2 linked regions of the Oryctolagus cuniculus genome follow. The protein of the gene in region 1 interacts with the protein of each later gene in a pairwise test. Links are inferred from orthologs where the notes say so. Each region holds a gene or a part of one and is shown on either strand. Other genes may lie near its edges.

Region 1 (8,552 bases):
GAAATCCATGGCCGCTCCGAGGCCTGTTTTCTGCTTGACACCTCTCTGCCTCCATCCAGTGTCCTTGCTAGTCTTGGTGGTGGTGTGGTGGAGGGGTGTTGGCCCAGGGCTGCAGCTTGGGGAACTTTTTGATGCGGGCAGGGTAGGAGTTGGAAGCAGACCCCTCTCCAGGTCTGAGGGCTGCATGGCGCAGAGCACCCCCCCAACTCCCGCAGAGGGAGTGGATTTATTGCAGGTGTATGTTGAGGGGCAGGGAAACAGAAGGGTGAGTGAGAAGTCTGCTAGTGACACCTGCTTGAGGTCGGAGGCGTGGGGGAGAACACGCAGACACGTGCACACACACACATGTGCACACCAGCAAAATCCAGCGCCCCTCCCTCCCACGGGGGGGTTCTGTGTATTCCTCGCCAGCGCCTGGGTGCAGGCCTGCCTACCTTCCCTCTGTCTCTCCCTAGCTCAGCCCCCTGTCCTCCGCCAGCAGTCAAGGGTAGCCAATGGGCCGCCCCAGCCTCAGGGCAGGGGCTCTGCGGGAGTGTGGGGGGGGGGCTCCCCGCTACCCTTGAGACCCTGAGACCCCCGAGGCCAGGGCTGTGGCGCATGTTGCAAGCGACTGCTCTGCGCTGGGGTCAACTTCGGACTGGGAGGGCTGGGCTGGCGGAGGGGCGCGCTCAGGCCTTGCTGCCCCGCGGCGGGCTCTGCGGCGAGTGCAGCTCCACCGACTGCCGCCGCCGCACCTCGCGCTCCTCCCAGTCGGCGTCCGGCTCCAGCCCCTTGAGCACCGCCAGACGCTCCGACAGGCTCTTGGCTGAGGGGAAGAGTACGTAGTTGTAGATCAGCGAGCCCAGGATGGCGCCAACCAGGGGTCCGACCCAGAAGACCTGCGGGCGAGCAGAGAGGGGACTGGCAGCGCGCGGGGAGCAAAGGGGACCCCCTCCCGCCGCCCCGCCTGCCGCCGCCGCCACGCACCGGGTGGTGAGGGTGCGGGGTCCTGGATGCGCTGCCTGCGTCGAACTGTGATGCCAGCCCTTTACTTGGCCTCTCTGAGCCTGTTTGCTTTCACTGAAACAGTGCCTGCCTCCTAGGATGGTCGTGAAATGGCTCAACAGCAGCAAAGTGCTTAGAAGAAGGCGCCGCACAAGCTCAGAACCGCGTGCGTGCTCATCAGTCTAAGAGCCGCTGTCTGCTGAGCTCCTGGCGCCGGGCACCCTGTTACCCAGGCAGCCTAACTCAATTTCCCCAAGAGCTGGTGAGGTGCCCACTTGTCACGCTGTGGAAACGGCGTCTGAAAGGCCGACCCCAGGAGGAGGAGGAGGAGGAGGGTTGGGGCACTGCAGCAGCTGAACCCCTCCCCCCACCCCTTCCAGCCCTTATTCCCCTCTGAAATGGGTTTCTGGGGAAGGGGCAAGGGAGGTGGTTTCTGGCATTACCCAGTGGTCATCAAACTTGCCGGTGATGACAGCGGGGGCCAGGGAGCGGGCAGGGTTCATGGAGCAGCCGGTGTAGTAGATCTGTCATGGGAAGAGGGGGTGTCAAGGAGAGTGAGGTGAGATGGGCCCAGGGGGGTGCCTCCCTTTCCAAAGTCTTTAGGGTATATGGGAGTCAAGCCCTCCAGGCCATCTGTCCCTCTGGGGTTCTGTGTAGGGCTGTGACCTACCCCGAGGAGGTGGCCCAGGGTCACCGAGAGGCCAATGGAAAGGGCAGGGGTGCCCACGTTGTCGCTGCGGCGATCGTCGGTGGAGGCAAAGATGCAGAGCACCAGCTGCAGCGTCAGGAAGAGCTCCACGGTCACAGCCTGCCCAGCTGTGGCATTGTTGCTGAGCTGGGGACAGAGGGGGGGGCAGGCTGAGCACGCTCCCCCTCCACCTCTCGCCCCCACCTTGCTGCCCACCTGCAGCAGAGGCTCCAGGGAGGCCTCTGGGCTGGGAGCCAGAACACCTGGGCTGGCCTCCCGATGCCTTCTTCCTGGGCCCCTGCCTTTGGTGAGACGCCAGGGCTGCCTGTGGTCCCCAGGCCAGAGGTGGGAAAACTGACTGCCCGGCCCCTTAGGTCTGGGCGCGGACCCTGTGCCTGCGTCTGCAGCATGAGCGCAGAAGCGTGCTCAGATGTGGTTTTGCTTTCTGAAGAACAAGAAGGGAAGAGGTTTCCATGGCTGCAGGGGGCTTTGGACAGGGACAGGAGGGCCCTCCTTGCTCCCTAGTTGGAAGACACTGGGGCAGCCAGAGGCCTGGAGTCTTTTTTTTTTTCCTGTGGCCAAAGGGCTCCCAGGAAGGCGGTCCAGGAACTTGGGAACACTCCTCACCATGGCACTGTCCCCTAATCTTCACCTGCTGCACCCTGTGGGCTTGGTCCTGTGCAGGTCAGGGTGAGGCCACTGGAGCTGTCTATCGCGGTGTTGGTGCACCACGTAGGGGGGCCCGCAGTCCCAGCAGACCCCGCTGTGGGTAAGGTGAGAACTTGCGGCTGAGCGAAGGGAGGCAGTTTCACAACCCAGCCACACCCTTCACAGGATTTCTCCCGGGTTCTCCTCCTGGCCTCTGCGCCTTGCCCTCAGGGGCTAGGCCCTGTGTGAGGGGAGCTGCATGGCTCTCAGCTCCCACGTTCCTTCCCCTGGCCCGAGCCCCTCCCCCCCAACACCCAGGTCCTCATGGGCAGGCTGGTTCTATAGCCTCAAGCTTCCTGCTGATATCCACCGTCACAGCCTCTAGGGGACAGAGAGAAGAGCTTTGGAGGCCTCTGGTCCATCTAGTTATGTTGGGGACAATGAAGCAGATTTGGGAGGCCTCTGAGGACTGGCAGTGACAAGGGCAGCGCCCTAGCTGTCCTGCTGCTGGCAGGTGGCGGCTCTGCGGGAGACAGCCTGGACATGGCTATGGGGTCAGACAACTCTGGGTCCATCGCCGGTTGCTGCCACCTGCCACAGCGGTCCTGTCATTTGGGCCGTTTGAATGCTGAGCCTCTGTCACGTGGGGAGACCACAGAATTTACCTTACGGTGTTGGACGAGGCTGAGACGGCACAGGGCAGATGCACATCAATAGCAACTTCCTGGTGGCCAGGCTGCCTCTCCCAGAGGACAACAGGGACAGGCTGAGGGCGAGTCAGCCCCACCGCTGCCCCCCAGCGGGTTCTCCTGGGGGTGGGCCCACTGAGGAATAGCTGGCAGGAGAGCCTCCCAGACCTTCCCTGCTGAGGCCCCCACTCAGCTGCAGAGAGAGGAGCAGGGCTGGGGGCTCCAGGGCGCCCCTGCAGAGAGGGGCTTGCTGGGGTGTTGCTCTCAGGAAGCCCCTCTTTCTGTCCCACTGGGGCTCCGCTTGCTGCTAATGGCGCTAACTTCGCACTCAGTGGAAATCGGCACCTGCTCGGTCGGCCAGCTGCCTTGGCTGCTCTGGTGTTTTCTAAGCCCTGGATCCCCAGCCTCACCATACTTCCCACTCTGAAGGGGAGAGAAACCCCCGGGGTGCAGAAAGACCACTTGTGCAGGGCAGGGCGTGGCCATGGAGGCTGGGCTGTTTGCTAGAAGCCCAGGGATGCAGCCAGCGAAGAAATGCGGGGAACTGAGGCACAGAAGAGGTGATTGCTGTTCTGGCTTGGGGCAGGGGTGCAGAGGGCATATTGCATGGAGGGGAGCGCATTCAGCCCTCCCCACCCATACCTCGCAGATTGGGGGCGGGGGAGTGAACCGCGCTACCCTCAGCTTCCTAAGAGCCCAGGCTGCCCACAGCCTCAGCAGCTGCCTCCCACAAACTTCTCCAGCATCCAGAGGGAGAGACCCTACCCCTGAAGCGTTCCTGCACCTGCTAGAAGCTGAAAGAGCGTTCCATCTCTCCCCTCTGGGGAAGACTGCACGGCTGCTGTGCTCTGGGGACCCTGCCCCTGCTGAGCCCCAGCCCACGTGGGCATGGAGTCCAGCAGAACCCTCGACGCTGCTCTTCCTCCGCGGGCCCCCGGACAGAAGGTACCAGCAGCCCTGTTTTCTCCGCCGTTTCTGCTCTCACACAATTGCCCCTTCTGCTGGGCTCCTGTCTAGAGCCTCATCTTGGTCTCTGTCTCTGTCTCTGTCTCTCTCTCTCTCTCTCCACCCAGAGCCACCTGCATCTCATCATTCGCCAGGGGTGGCCCAAGGTCCACCCGCCGTGGACGAGGGCGAGGGTCCAGCTGTACTCACGGCATTGACAGCCAGGTCGCCACGGACCTCGGCCGGCGTGATCTCGTGGAGCAGAGCGGCCCCGGCCACGGCCCCCAGCAGCTGGGCAGCCACGTAGAAGGCAGCTCGGAGGAAGGAGACGTGGCAGCCCACCAGGCAGGCCACGGTCACGGCAGGGTTGATGTGGGCCCCGCTGACGTGGCCCAGAGCCTGCACCAGGGTGCCGATGCCCAGGCCAAAAGCCATGGCGATCTGCAATGTGGAAGGCAGCGCCGATGGCCAGTTGAGGGCTGAGCCCAGGCCGAAGAAGACAAAGAGGAGCGTGGCCAGGAACTCGGCAAACACCGCCCTGGAGAAGGCGATGGACCGAAGCTCCCACATGCTGCGGGCCCTCCACGGGTCTCCCGCCTCTGCTCCCTCTCGCTCGCTCCCTCTCGCTCGCTCCCTCTCGCTCGTTCGGGGCCTCGGGGGAGGCTGGGCCTATATAGAGTCCCTCGGCCCAGGCCTGGGCACGTGCGATGGAGGCGGAGTTTAGGCCAGCGCCTCCACTGTCCCTGCCACCCCTGCCCCACTCCCACCCCTGCCCACTGCACGCCTATCACCCCATCTTGGCCTTCACAGCTGACTAAAGTTCCCCATTAATGAACTCCAGATAAGGCTTGACGTCCCCTGATTTTCCGTGTTTGTTCCCTCAGTTACCCCAGGCCTGTCGCCGTGGGGCCTCCCCTCCCCCACGCCAAGCTGCGGATGGGAACCCCCGAAGGGGAGGTGGCTGGGGGGAGGACCCCTCTTTCTAACTCAAAGTGGTGGCTAAGGTGCAGGGCACCCCCCAACACACCCACCCCAAATTATGCGCGAGAAATGCCAGAGTCGCCCGTCTTGGGGGTGGATGCCCACCCTCCCCCCACCCTTCTGGAAGGAGATGGAAAACAACTGGTCGGCTTGGGCCAAATTTCCAAGGCAAAAATGCTTGGTGTCTGTTCTGTGCCTGCTTGCTTGTAGTTAATCGCCCGTAAGCCATTAAGCTCTCCCTCCTCCTGGAAGCCCATTCAAGGAGCAGCTCCGGCAGCCTGGAGCCAGCGGTGGCTTCGGGGGGCCTTGGGGACCCTGGCCCTGGCTGAAAGAGTCAGCGGAGGAGTGGGGGGGGGTCAGCTCAGAGCTTCTGTCCCAGCACCACCTTGCTCCGTCTCTGGACTTTGTAAAATGGAGGTGACGCCTGCCTTGGGGCCTTGGGACTCGGCGACATGAAATCCCCTATGACACGAGCACAGAGTGGCTGCGCCTGGCCACGGGTGGAGGCCAAACCCTTGTAGCAGTCGCTCAGAGTGCTGCTTACGTTCTTACGTGTTGGGTTCCCCAGACTCACATATCTGGGGCGGGGGGAGGGTGTCCCAGGAGCACTGGGGGCATCCCCCAGCCCCCAGAGCCACCCATGTCGCCGGAGGAAGACATTTCTCTGGGGTAGTGAGCTGTGGCGATCCAGGGAGGCCAGGCCGCCCAATAGGCAGCTCTCTGGCATGGGTGCCCACCCCTCCCAGGGATACCGCCTCGTACTGGGGGCCCTGCACACCACCAGGGCCTTGGAGGCCCCTCTTCCCTAATCCTTCCAGGCTCGTTCCCTCTCCTGGGGATCCAGAGGCAGCAGTGGGCTTGGGGTGGGATCCGGACAGGCTCTGGATAGTGCTGTAGCTCCTGGCCTATGCACCTCTTTACGAAGTAGAATACCTTGTCTTGTGTCCCAGCCTGAGGCCTGAGGAGTGTGAGTGACTTGGGGACGGTGGTCCAGCAAGTTAGAGGCTGAACTGGAACTGGAACTGGGTCTCGAGAGTTTCCACCACACCCTTGGACTGCTGAATCACACTCAGCCTCAGTCTTCCTATCTGGACAATGGGACTAAAGATGCCTTTCCCACAGAGTTGTTTCTGAGAATGCAAGATGCGAGCATGCACACGTGAACTTGTAACTTCTTTCCAGGAGGAAGAGGAGGAGGAGGGTGAGGAAGAAGAAAACGAGGCCCAACCGAAGGAGAGTCCTGAAAGGGCAGGAGCTCTTGTGGGCGTGTTCTCGGCTGTGTTTCCAGTACCTGAAACAGCAGTGCCACATGGGGACCTGGCCCTGGTCCCAGAGGCTCGGGGAGAGAGACTCAGAACAAGTGTGTGTGTGTGCAGCTGGGGGGCAAAATCCTGTCATGTGAAAGGCATCCGAGGGTCTGGCGCTGTGGTGTAGCGGGTAAAGCCGCCGCCTGCAGTCCTGGCATCCCATATGGGCACTGGTTCAAGTCCTGGCTGCTCCACTTCTAATCCAGCTCTCTGCTATGGCCTGGGAAAGCAGTGGAAGATGGCCCAAGTCCTTGGGCCCCTGAACCCATGTGGGAGACCTGGAGGAAGCTCCTGGCTCCTGGCTCCGGATCGGTGCAGCTCCAGCCATTGTAGCTATTTCGGGAGTGAACCAGCAGATGGAAGACCTCTCTCCCTCTCTCCCTCTCTGTGTCTCCCTCTCTCCCTCTCTCCCTCTCTGTGTCTCCCTCTCTGTAACTCTGCCTTTCAAGTAAATAAATCATTTTAAAAATGCTTTCTTGAAGTTGGAGGCAGAGTCATGTGGATGCACTGAGTTCCATTGAACCATACATTCAAAAATGGTTATGGGAGTGGGGAATAGGGTGCTGTGGCTTAGTAGGCTAAGCCTCTGCCTGCGGTGCTGGCATCCCATATGGGTGCCTGTTCATGTCCCAGATGCTCCTCTTCCAGTCCAGCTCTCTGCTATGGCCTGGGAAAGCAGTAGAAGATGGCCCAGGTGTTTGGGCCCCTGCACCCACATCCACATGAGGGATCCAGAAGAGGCTCATGGCTCCTGGCTTCGGATTGGCTCAGCTCTGGCTGGTGCGGCCACTTGGGAAGTGAACCAGCAGAGGGAAGATCTTTCTGTTTCTCCCTCTCTCTGTCTATAGCTCTGCCTCTCAAATAAATAAATAAATAAAATCTTTTAAAAAATGGTTACAGGGGAGGGGAGTGGCATCGTGGTGCAGCAGATTAAACCGCTGCCTGTGACTGTAACATCCTATATGGGAGCACAGGTTTGAGTCCCAGCTGCTCCACTTCTGATGCAGCTTCCTGCTGATATGCCCAGGAAAGCAGTGGAGGATGGCTCAAGCATTTGGGCCCTTCCTATTTTCAATATGTCTTTCAAATAAATAAAATAAATTTAAAAAACCAGTTACAGGGTACAGGTTTGGCCTGGCAGTTAAGATACTGGTTAAGATGCTCGTGTCCCACTTGGATTCGTTTGCCAGCTCTGACTGCTGACTCTGGCTTCCTGCTCAAGCAGCCGGTCCCTGCTCCCCACATGGGAGACATGGATGGGGTTCCTGGCTCCTGGCTGCAGCCCAGCCCAGCTCTGGTCATATCTGGGGAGTGAACGAGCAGATTGCAACTTTCTCTTTGTCTCTCTCTGTCTCTGAGTGTCGCTCTGCTTCTCATACAAATGAATTTAAAAAAAATTAAAGTGGGGCCGGCGCCACGGCACACCGGGTTCTAGTCCCGGTTGGGGCGCCGGATTCTGTCCCGGTTGCCCCTCTTCCAGGCCAGCTCTCTGCTGTGGCCAGGGAGTGCAGTGGAGGATGGCCCAGGTGCTTGGGCCCTGCACCCCATGGGAGACCAGGAAAAGCACCTGGCTCCTGGCTCCTGCCATCGGATCAGCGCGGTGCGCCGGCCACAGTGCGCTGGCTGCGGCGGCCATTGGAGGGTGAACCAACAGCAAAGGAAGACCTTTCTCTCTGTCTCTCTCTCTCACTGTCCACTCTGCCTGTCAAAAAAAAAAAAATTAAAGTGGTTAAGATGGCATGTTTTATGGTGTGTGTATTTTACCATAATTAAAATATGTAATGTTTTAAAAATTAAGAAAAGGAAAAGGGAAACAGCATAGGTGTGTGGCAGGTAAAGCTGTCACCTGTGACCCTGGCATCCCATATGAGTGCCGGTTCACGTCCCAGCTGCTCCACTTCCTATCCAGCTCCCTGATAATGGCCTGGGAAAAGCAGCAGAAGATGACCCAATGGGGGCTGGAGCTGTGGTGTAGCAGGTAAAGCCGGCGCCTGCAGTGCCGGCATCCCATGTGGATGCCGGTTCGAGTCCCGGCTGCTCCACTTCTGATCCAGCTCTCTGCTATGGCCTGGGAAAGCAGTGGAAGATGGCCCAAGTCCTTGGGCCTCTGCCCCAGTGTGGAAGACCCAGAAGAAGCTCCTGGCTCTTGGCTTCGGGTCAACTCAGCTCCGGCCATTGCGGCTATTTGGGGAGTGAACCAGCGGATGGAAGACCTCTCTCTCTCTCTCTCTGCTTCTCTCTGTCTGTAACTCTGCCTTTCAAATAAATAAATCTTTAAAAAAAATAGAAGAACAAGATGGCCCAAGTCCT
Region 2 (8,597 bases), on another chromosome or scaffold:
ATCTCACTGGAACTGCTGATGGCTGCAAACTTCCTATATCGTTAACTAAAATCAATTATAATAAACTGTTCATTTTTCCAGTATCTAATACCAGTAGTTCAGTTAGTAATTTTTTCATGCTGCCTGTAGACAACTGAACTACAAAGTTCATTGCAAAGCAGATTATCTTCTGTTCTTTTGCATAGAAATCAGAATTGAAATTTGTTTGCTACATCAACAAATTAAGGACATTTTCACAAACAGAAATAGACAGATATGCCAATTCAAAATAAGCAATTTAGGGGGGGCAGTTAAGTTACTGCTTGGGACACCCACATCCCATACTGGGTTCAAGTCCCAACTTTGCTTCTGCTATCAAACAACCTGAAAGGCAGCAGGTGACAGCCCAAGTACTGTGTCCTTGTCACCCACATGGGAGACCCCGATGGAGTTCCCGGCTCACCGCTTTGGGCTGACCCACAGTCCTTGCTATTTCAGACATTTGGGAAGTAAATCAGCAGATGAAAGATCTGATCTCTATCTCTCTGCCTCTCCCTTTCAAATAAATAAGCAAAATTTTTAAATAATCTTTCCAATAAGGAATCCATGGCATAAAAGGGTTAAGAACCTCTGATCTAACGTAGGCTAAAGTGGAAAGCCTTCATTTATCCATTCAGTCCATAAGCCAAGCAAGTGTTCACTGCGTCCCTGCTCTGACACTAGGTCAAACCATCTGCATCGCCAACACTGGGTTCGTCTTGACCTGCCCAAATGCTAACTGCATAGTTCAGTCTAAAACTTGGTGGGCCCAGCCTCTTAAGCCCACATATGAGAAGCAGTAACACAGTGAAAGAACAATCTTAAAATGGAAAAACTGACACCTACAGAAGTTAAAAACTTTGCAAAATGGGCAAGAGGCAGTGCACTGAAAACAAAAAGTCACAAGGCAAAGGAACCAGAGGGAATTGCCCATTTAATTATCCCGAACAAGAACGACCCAAATACACTGTCAAATTTCCATTATTCTCTAAGACCTAAAAGTGATGAGAAATCTTCCCTCAAAGCTTTATGAATGCTTCAATATTTTTTCCAATTACATTAATGTAACTTTCCACCTTAATCAGTCTGCCATGAATTCACTGCTAAGCCAGTAACAATACTGCCTTCTACTTGCATGACTTCGTAATTTACAGGGTACTTTCACACATTATTCTTTGGATCTCAATCACACCACTACACAACAGCCTGCCAGACATCAGCCCTGTCTGTCAGGTCACACAGCACACAAAATCCAAAAGAACTCCCGGAGAACTAAAGATGAGTCTGAACTTTAAACCGGACTCTCTTCTGTGTCAAGCAGTAATATTAAAGGAGGTGAAATAGGAAAATGCTCCAAAATCTGGGAACGCTAAGTCTGAGCCTCAATCCACTGCTTACTCTCTATGGGTCTCTAAGACAGGATCCTGATATTTCTGAGGTGAGCTTAATAAAGTGGAAACGATAACTTCTTCAGATTAAATGAGAGGAGGAGGAAGCAGTCTGGTCTTCAGATTCAGTGAGGCCCAGGTGAGTTAAAGGCCTTGCCATGGTCTTCAGCAGTGGCGCTGATCACTGTCTCTCATTTCTCGTACGAGGGTCCAGCAATCAAACAACTCGACTCCTTCCTCAAAGTACTCAGGGAAGCAACGTGGCTTGAGGCACACAGCATAGGCTATAGAATTCTTTTTTTTTTTTTTGGCGGGGGGGGGGGGGGGACAGGCAGAATTAGACAGTGAGAGAGAGAGAGACAGAGAGAAAGGTCTTCCTTCCATTGGTTCACCCCCAAATGGCTGCTATGGCTGACAATCCAAAGCCAGGAGCCAGGTGCTTCCTCCTGGTCTCCCATGAGGGTGCAGGGACCAAGCACTTGGGCCATCCTCCACTGCCTTCCTGGGCCACAGCAGAGAGCTGGACTGGAAGAGGAACAACTGCGACAGAATCCAGCGCCCCAACTAAGACTAGAACCTGGTGTGCCGGTGCCGCAGGCAGAGGATTAACCAAGTGAGCCGCGGTGCTGGCCTAGGCTATAGGATTCTAATGCCCTGCCCAGAGACGCCCTGACAACTTACCTGCCCTCTCCACATGACCACCACTCTATCGTTATAAAGGCATTTGAGAAAATTAGCACAACATAACCAATGCCACAGTTCGGTGACCTACTTTTCTTCAATATCTAAAAAGTGTGACATCTTCAATGTTAAGAGCTCTGATCAAGAGTCCACCAAGAGCTGCCATCTGCATTTCACAACATCTATCTAGAGCTGATGTTCACTTATGAGAAATACAGCCTTGGTGCCCATATGGGAGCAGGTTCATGTGCTGGTTGCTCCTCTTCTGATCCAGCTCTCTGCTCACGGCCTGAGAAAGCAGTAGAAGGCAGCTCAAGTGCTTGGGCCCTTGCACCCACATGGGAGACCTGGAAGAAGCTCCTGGCTCCAGGCTTCAGATCAGCCTACTCTGGCCATTGCAGCCATTTAGGAGTGAACCATCGGATGGAAGACCTCTCTCTCTATCTCTCCCTCTCTCTGTAACTCTGCCTTTCAAATAACCAAATCTTAAAAAAAGAAAGAAACACAGCCTTATTATCCCATTTCTAACAGCCACTGGGAATGGACTAAAAAGGTCTGGGATAGAAGCTCAAACCAGAGTCAGACAATACCAAAGGATACCGGATAAAAGAGGATCTGAGTAAAAGAAAACTAACTCCCATTCTAAAGGCCAGAGGTCAGAGGCAGGCCCGCGGTACTTACTCCTGGCTGATCACCTCCTCATCCTCCGAGGACGATGCTGTTTCCTCCAGGTCCCGGGCCATCACGACGGGCATCTCCTTTGGGGTTTGTCATGCAGTCAGCAGACAGGGGCCTCAGAGACCTTTCCTTGCAGACTCACTGGATCAGACGATTTGGGTGGCACAGATTCCTGCAGAGAAGTGGATCGCTCTGACACACAGTGCAGCTGTGCAGTTATCAGTTACCGCTGATGATCTTCCAAACAACGAAAAGAAACCCATTCCTAAGCAGTACCCGAGCTCTAGCTTACCTTCATGGTGCCTCACACACGGCTCAAAAATCGGAAATGTTTTTCAGATATACTCTCTGGACTCTTATGTATTTGAAAAGCTCTTATTAAGTTTGAGTTTCTCATTTGTCTTTCATGTACTAAATCTAACCTTAGGGAGGTGGCTGATTCCTTGCTATGACCTCAATTAAACTTGGCCTGGGTTAAAAATAAGAACTCAAGGTTTAAGATCTTTGCAAATATTTATTCAGACTCAATGACAAGCACACACGGGAGATGGCATCATGTTTCAGTTAAGACAAATTCCACATCAGAGCCAAAAGATTAAAATGTTCTCCTGAATCAATAACGGGGGGGGGGGGGGGGGCACTGCCCTTCCAAACACTCTTAAAAATCATTCTTAAAAATCATTCTCTCTTACTGAAAATCACAAACTTGGATCTGAATCTCAAAGGCACATTACAATTACAGAATTTCCAACGCGGCAGTTCTAACTTGAAAATATATTTTTCCTTAGGGGGAAATACATTATGTCCGATATACCTGACAGGGAAGGGAATGCAAACTGTAAAATGAAAATGTGCGGATGACCGCAATCCCACTGCTCAGAGGTAGGCAACTGATGTCAATCTTTCCAAACTCTATTTTTCTGTGCATTCATGTATATAAGATTGCAAATAAAACCAACACACACACACACACACACACACACGAGCCCGCTAATGACCCCTGCAGATCTTCGGGGTAACGGGCAATCCCTAACAGCCTCGGTGGCTCCTCTGCGGGAGATGCCCAGTGGAATCTCTCCATCTTTCCCAAATGCTGGGAAGTCCCGTAAGTTACACCGAGCGAACCTCCAAGCGAGGAGGGGATGCCCACCTTCCCCGAGCTGCCTGCAGACTGGGAGCCCTCGCTCCCCGGGGATCCGGCCCTCGGCCCCACCCCCAGCGCACCCCGATCCCGAGCGGGTCGGCGGTGCGCTCCCCGGGAAGGACGGGGCGACCCCGCCGCCACCCTCCAGCCCAGCGCGCCCGGAAGCCAACAGCGGCTCCCGGGCTCTGAGGGGGAAGTGCAGCCGACCGCGGCGGCCAGGGCCGGGAGCGCACCTCCCTCCGGCAGGGAAGCGCGCCGGCGCCGGCGTTTACCTGTCTCATCTTCCCATGGCTCCGGCGCGCAAGTGGGGACCACGCTCTGCGCCTACCTCCCTCCTCCTTTCCCAGCCGGGCTCTCCGCGGCTGCCGACGGCTGCTTCCCCCGTTACTACAACAACCAACAAGCAACCGCCCGCTCGGAGCCACTGCGCAGGCGCCCGCCACCCGGCGCGGACCACGCTGGGCTGCGGCGCGGACGGATGCCGTCACCGCCCCGCGACGCGGGAGCAGAGCCGCGTGCTCGGCACAGAGCACTCTTGACTTTCTCTTTCCCGCTCAGTTCCCCCCACTCCTCCGCCCCTTAAACGATGACTCCAAACCTGGAGTTCCGCCACTATCAACAGGAGGGTTTGCTGCGTGAGCGGTGCCCCAGGGGGAGAGGCTTAGGCAGCGGCAACCGCTGATTGGCAGTAGAGGGGTTCACTCCCTATCTCCTGCTCGAGCAAAGCCGGCTCCGCCAATCAGAGCGAGGACTGACAGGAACGATCCAATCGTAGAGCCAGGCTGGGGACGGGGGCGGGGACGAGTGGCTCAGGTGGAATCCGGGCTGGAGCTGTCTTGGGGAAGCTGGTTTGCTGCTGCTGCGGCTGTGCCCGGGTCCGGCTGCCAGGTAAGGCGACGGTGGGAGAGAAGAGGGTGCAGGTGACCGTGTGACATCTGATTGGGAGGATCCGAAGAATCCGGAAAAACGGAGGTGGGACAGAAGGAAGACGCTAGTAGGCTTTCTTTTGTGGGGGAGAGGGTTCGGGAGCCGACGACGAGGGGGAACCCGGAAGATGGGGAGGGCGTGGTGGGTTCGGGGAACGAAGGGTGGGTGAGGGCATGAGCAGCCACTGAGAGCTGGTACTGTGCGAGGAGCCTTCACCGTCACCCTGAAGGTAGATGTTTGTAACCCCATTCAGCAGAGGAGGAAACTGAGTCACACAGCACCGAATGGTCGGGGCAGGATAGGAACGCCCCTGGCTGGGCTCCTGCTATCCTGGACGAGGTCGGGGGAAATTTTGGAATAGCAGCTGTATGAGGGAAATTCAAAAGGTTCATGAAAAATGAAATTAGAAGATTAATTTGGAGCAAAAATTTTTGATACTATGTTGATTTTTTAGGTTTATTTTCATTTTCTTTCAAAGGCAGACAGACAGATCTTTCATCCACTGGGTCTCTACCCCGAATGCACACAGTAGCCCAGAGGCTGGACCAAGCTGAAGCCAGGAGCCAGATCTTAATCAGAGTCTCCCACGTGGGTGGCAGGGACCCAAGTTCTAGGGCCAACTGCTGCCTCCCAGGGTGAGCGTTAGCAGGAAGCTGAGCTGGGAAGCAGAGCCTGGGCTCCAACCCAAGCCCTCCGGTGTAGGATGCAGGCACCTTACCCACTGCACCAAATGCCTGCCCTGATGCAAATATTTTTAAGCGAATCCTTTAACTCTGGTCCCACCCTCGTTTGTAAAATGGAAATACTAAATGGTATAACACATGTTGGGTGCATGGCACAAAGCCCAGTAAGGCAAGGTTCCTGCAGCCCTCACCAAGAGTGCTGCTTCCTTCTCTTAAAGTCACAGCAGGTTATTTATTTTTATCTTTTGGATTGTTCTTTTAGTTTATGGAATATGTGTGCCTAAGGAACAGGGTAGAAAAAAAGTAAGGGTGTAAATAGTGCTCTCACACCGTACGTTCCACTGCAAATCTGTACTCCATAGGTTTAGGAGGATCTGTCATCAAGAACCAGGCAGGCACCTGTGAGCCCCTGGCTTTGGAGAGCATTGACATGAAAAAGTAAAGAGAGGGGCCGGCGCTATGGCGCAGTGGGTTAACACCCTGGCCTGACACGCCCGCATCCCATAAAGGCTCCGGTTCTAGTCCCAGCTGCTCCTCTTCCAACCAGCTCTCTGCTATGGCCTGGGAAAGCAGTGGAAGGTGGCCAAGTCCTTGGGCCCCTGCACCCGCATGGGAGACCCAGAGGAAGCTCCTGGCCCCACCTTCAGATCAGCGCAGCTCCGGCTGTTGTGGCCATCTGGGGAGTCAACCATTGGATGGAAGACCTCTCTTTTGCTGCCTCTCCTCTCTCCGTGTAACTCTTTCAAATAAATAAATAAATCTTAAAAAAAAAAAAAAAAAAGTAAAGAGAGAGGAAGACTGATTGTAACCAAGAGAAAGGAATTCTGATATACGGTAGTATTTGAAGAAATTGCTTAAAGATAAGTATTGTTCCACTTATTGCAGATTATACAAATGTACTCCAAAAAGTTCATGGAAAATGGAATTAAAAGATAAATTTTGGGTTATTTTGGTGCAAGACATTTTTGAAATCCATGCTTAGCTTTATCATAATATACATTTTCATAACTTTTTGAAGAGCCCCATACTGTTCACTGACTGTTATCAGTGTAACCAAGCATTGCAGCCAATTTCTGTAAGCCTTACACCAAAATCCATTGTATTACTTTTTTTTTTTTTTTAATTTGAAAGGCAGAGTTACAGAGAGGCAGAGACAGAGAGAGAGAGGTATTGTATCCACTGGTTCACTCCCCAGATGGCTGCAACAAGCCAGAGCTATGCTGATCCAAAGCCAGGAGCCAGGAGCTTCTTCCAGGTCTCCCACGTGGGTGCAGGGGTCAAGGACATGGACATCTTCTACTGCTTTCCCAGGCCATAGCAGTGAGCTGGAGCAGAAGTGGATCAACCGGGCCTTGAACCAGCGTCCATATGGGATGCCGGCACTGCAGGCAGAGGGCTCACCTGCTACGCTACAGCACCGGCCCCTGTGTTACTTTATAGTAATACATATACAGGTCTTTACTTCTGTTGCCTTTCTTCACATTTTTCTCTCTGGGTTTGTCCCTTCCACCCACGGTCGTTGTCACCCTCAGTAAAGGTCAGCACACTGGCTTCAGGTGAATATTAAAGGCAATATGCCAACCTGGGAAGTAAGAATAATGTGTAAAAAAAAAACCGAGCGGGGTGGACGTCGGGGCGCAGATTAAGCTGTCATCTGGGACACCCCTGTCACATATCTGTGTGCCTAGGATTGAGTCCTACTTCCACTTCTGGTCTGACTTCCTGCAAATGTGAGCCCTGGGAGGCAACAGCCTCCCAGGCAAGTACTTGCTTGGGCTCGTGCCGCCCACAAGGGAGACCTGGATGGAGTTCCTGGTACCTGCCTTCTACCTGGCCCAGCTCCAGCCTGTTTGGGCTTATGGGGAGTGAACTAAGGGATGAAAGATAGCTTGCTCTTGCTCTATCACTCTGCCTTTCAAATAAGTAAAAATAAATTAATTAGACTTCAACCAAAAAAAGAAACAAAACTGGTGCATGAGCCTGGAGGATCTAGAGAGGAGCTCACGCAGTGATTGCCCAAGTTTAGTGCAGCTCTCGTGAACGGGCCGCAGGTAGCCACAGAGCAGAGATGGACTGACCTTGGCTTCTCGTGTCCCATGTCCTTGTTCCCAAGGCAGACGCCCTCTCGGGTCCGAGGGCAACATGAGCCGATTCCTGAACGTGCTGCGGAGCTGGCTGGTCATGGTGTCCATCATAGCCATGGGGAACACGCTGCAGAGCTTCCGGGACCACACGTTCCTCTATGAAAAGCTCTACACCGGCAAGCCGAACCTCGGTAAGAACCAGAGAGCCATGTCCTTCCTAGGAGCGGCCCTCGTGTGGTTCCCCATGCAGGCTTTAACCAGCACAGCCCCAAGGCACTCTGTACACCGGAACAGCCCCCAGGCACTCTGCACCTCAGTACAGCCACATGCACTCTGTACACCGGCACAGTCCCCATGTACACTGTATAGCAGCACAGCCCCCGTGCACTCTGTACCCCGGCACAGCCCCCATGCACTCTTACGCCAGCACAGCCCCCATGCACTCTGTACACCGGCACAGCCCCCGTGCACACTGTACCCCGGCACAGCCCCCGTGCACTCTGTACGCCGGCACAGCCCCCGTGCACTCTGTACGCCGGCACAGCCCCCGTGCACACTGTATAGCAGCACAGCCCCCATGAACTCTGTACGCCGGCACAGCCCCCATGCACTCTTACGCCAGCACAACCCCTGTGCACTCTGTACCCCGGCACAGCCCCCGTGCACTCTGTACGCCGGCACAGCCACATGCACTCTTACACCAGCACAGCCCCCATGCACACTGTACCCCGGCACAGCCCCCATGCACACTGTACCCCGGCACAGCCCCCGTGTACTCTGTACGCCGGCACAGCCCCCATGCACTCTTACGCCAGCACAGCCCCCATGCACTCTGTACGCCAGCACAGCCCCCGTGCACACTGTACCCCGGCACAGCCCCCGTGCACTCTGTATGCCAGCATAGCCCCCAGCAGGCTATACACTGTCACAGCCCCCATGTACTCTGTACACCGGCACAGCCCCATGTACTCTGTACACCAGCACAGTCCCCATG

Evidence for each region.
Region 2: the proteins of AQP2 (region 1) and ERG28 interact in binary tests that used the Homo sapiens proteins (3 or more experiments, as listed by UniProt). The link is inferred for Oryctolagus cuniculus from reciprocal best matches to the Homo sapiens genes AQP2 and ERG28.

What each region holds. Positions count from the first base shown.
Region 1 is NC_091442.1:53,292,738-53,301,289, reverse strand, and holds the start of AQP2 (aquaporin-2), read right to left. Parts: upstream 4,611-8,552; 5' UTR 4,525-4,610; coding exon 4,165-4,524; intron 1,820-4,164; coding exon 1,655-1,819; intron 1,509-1,654; coding exon 1,428-1,508; intron 879-1,427; coding exon 669-878; 3' UTR 1-668. UniProt on the Homo sapiens protein: Forms a water-specific channel that provides the plasma membranes of renal collecting duct with high permeability to water, thereby permitting water to move in the direction of an osmotic gradient. Plays an essential role in renal water homeostasis.
Region 2 is NC_091451.1:21,646,464-21,655,060, reverse strand, and holds the start of ERG28 (ergosterol biosynthetic protein 28 homolog), read left to right. Parts: upstream 1-4,183; 5' UTR 4,184-4,797; exon of another isoform or gene 4,798-4,903; intron 4,904-7,632; exon of another isoform or gene 7,633-7,636; 5' UTR 7,637-7,661; coding exon 7,662-7,794; intron 7,795-8,597. Other genes in the region: tubulin polyglutamylase TTLL5, read right to left, coding at 2,769-2,842.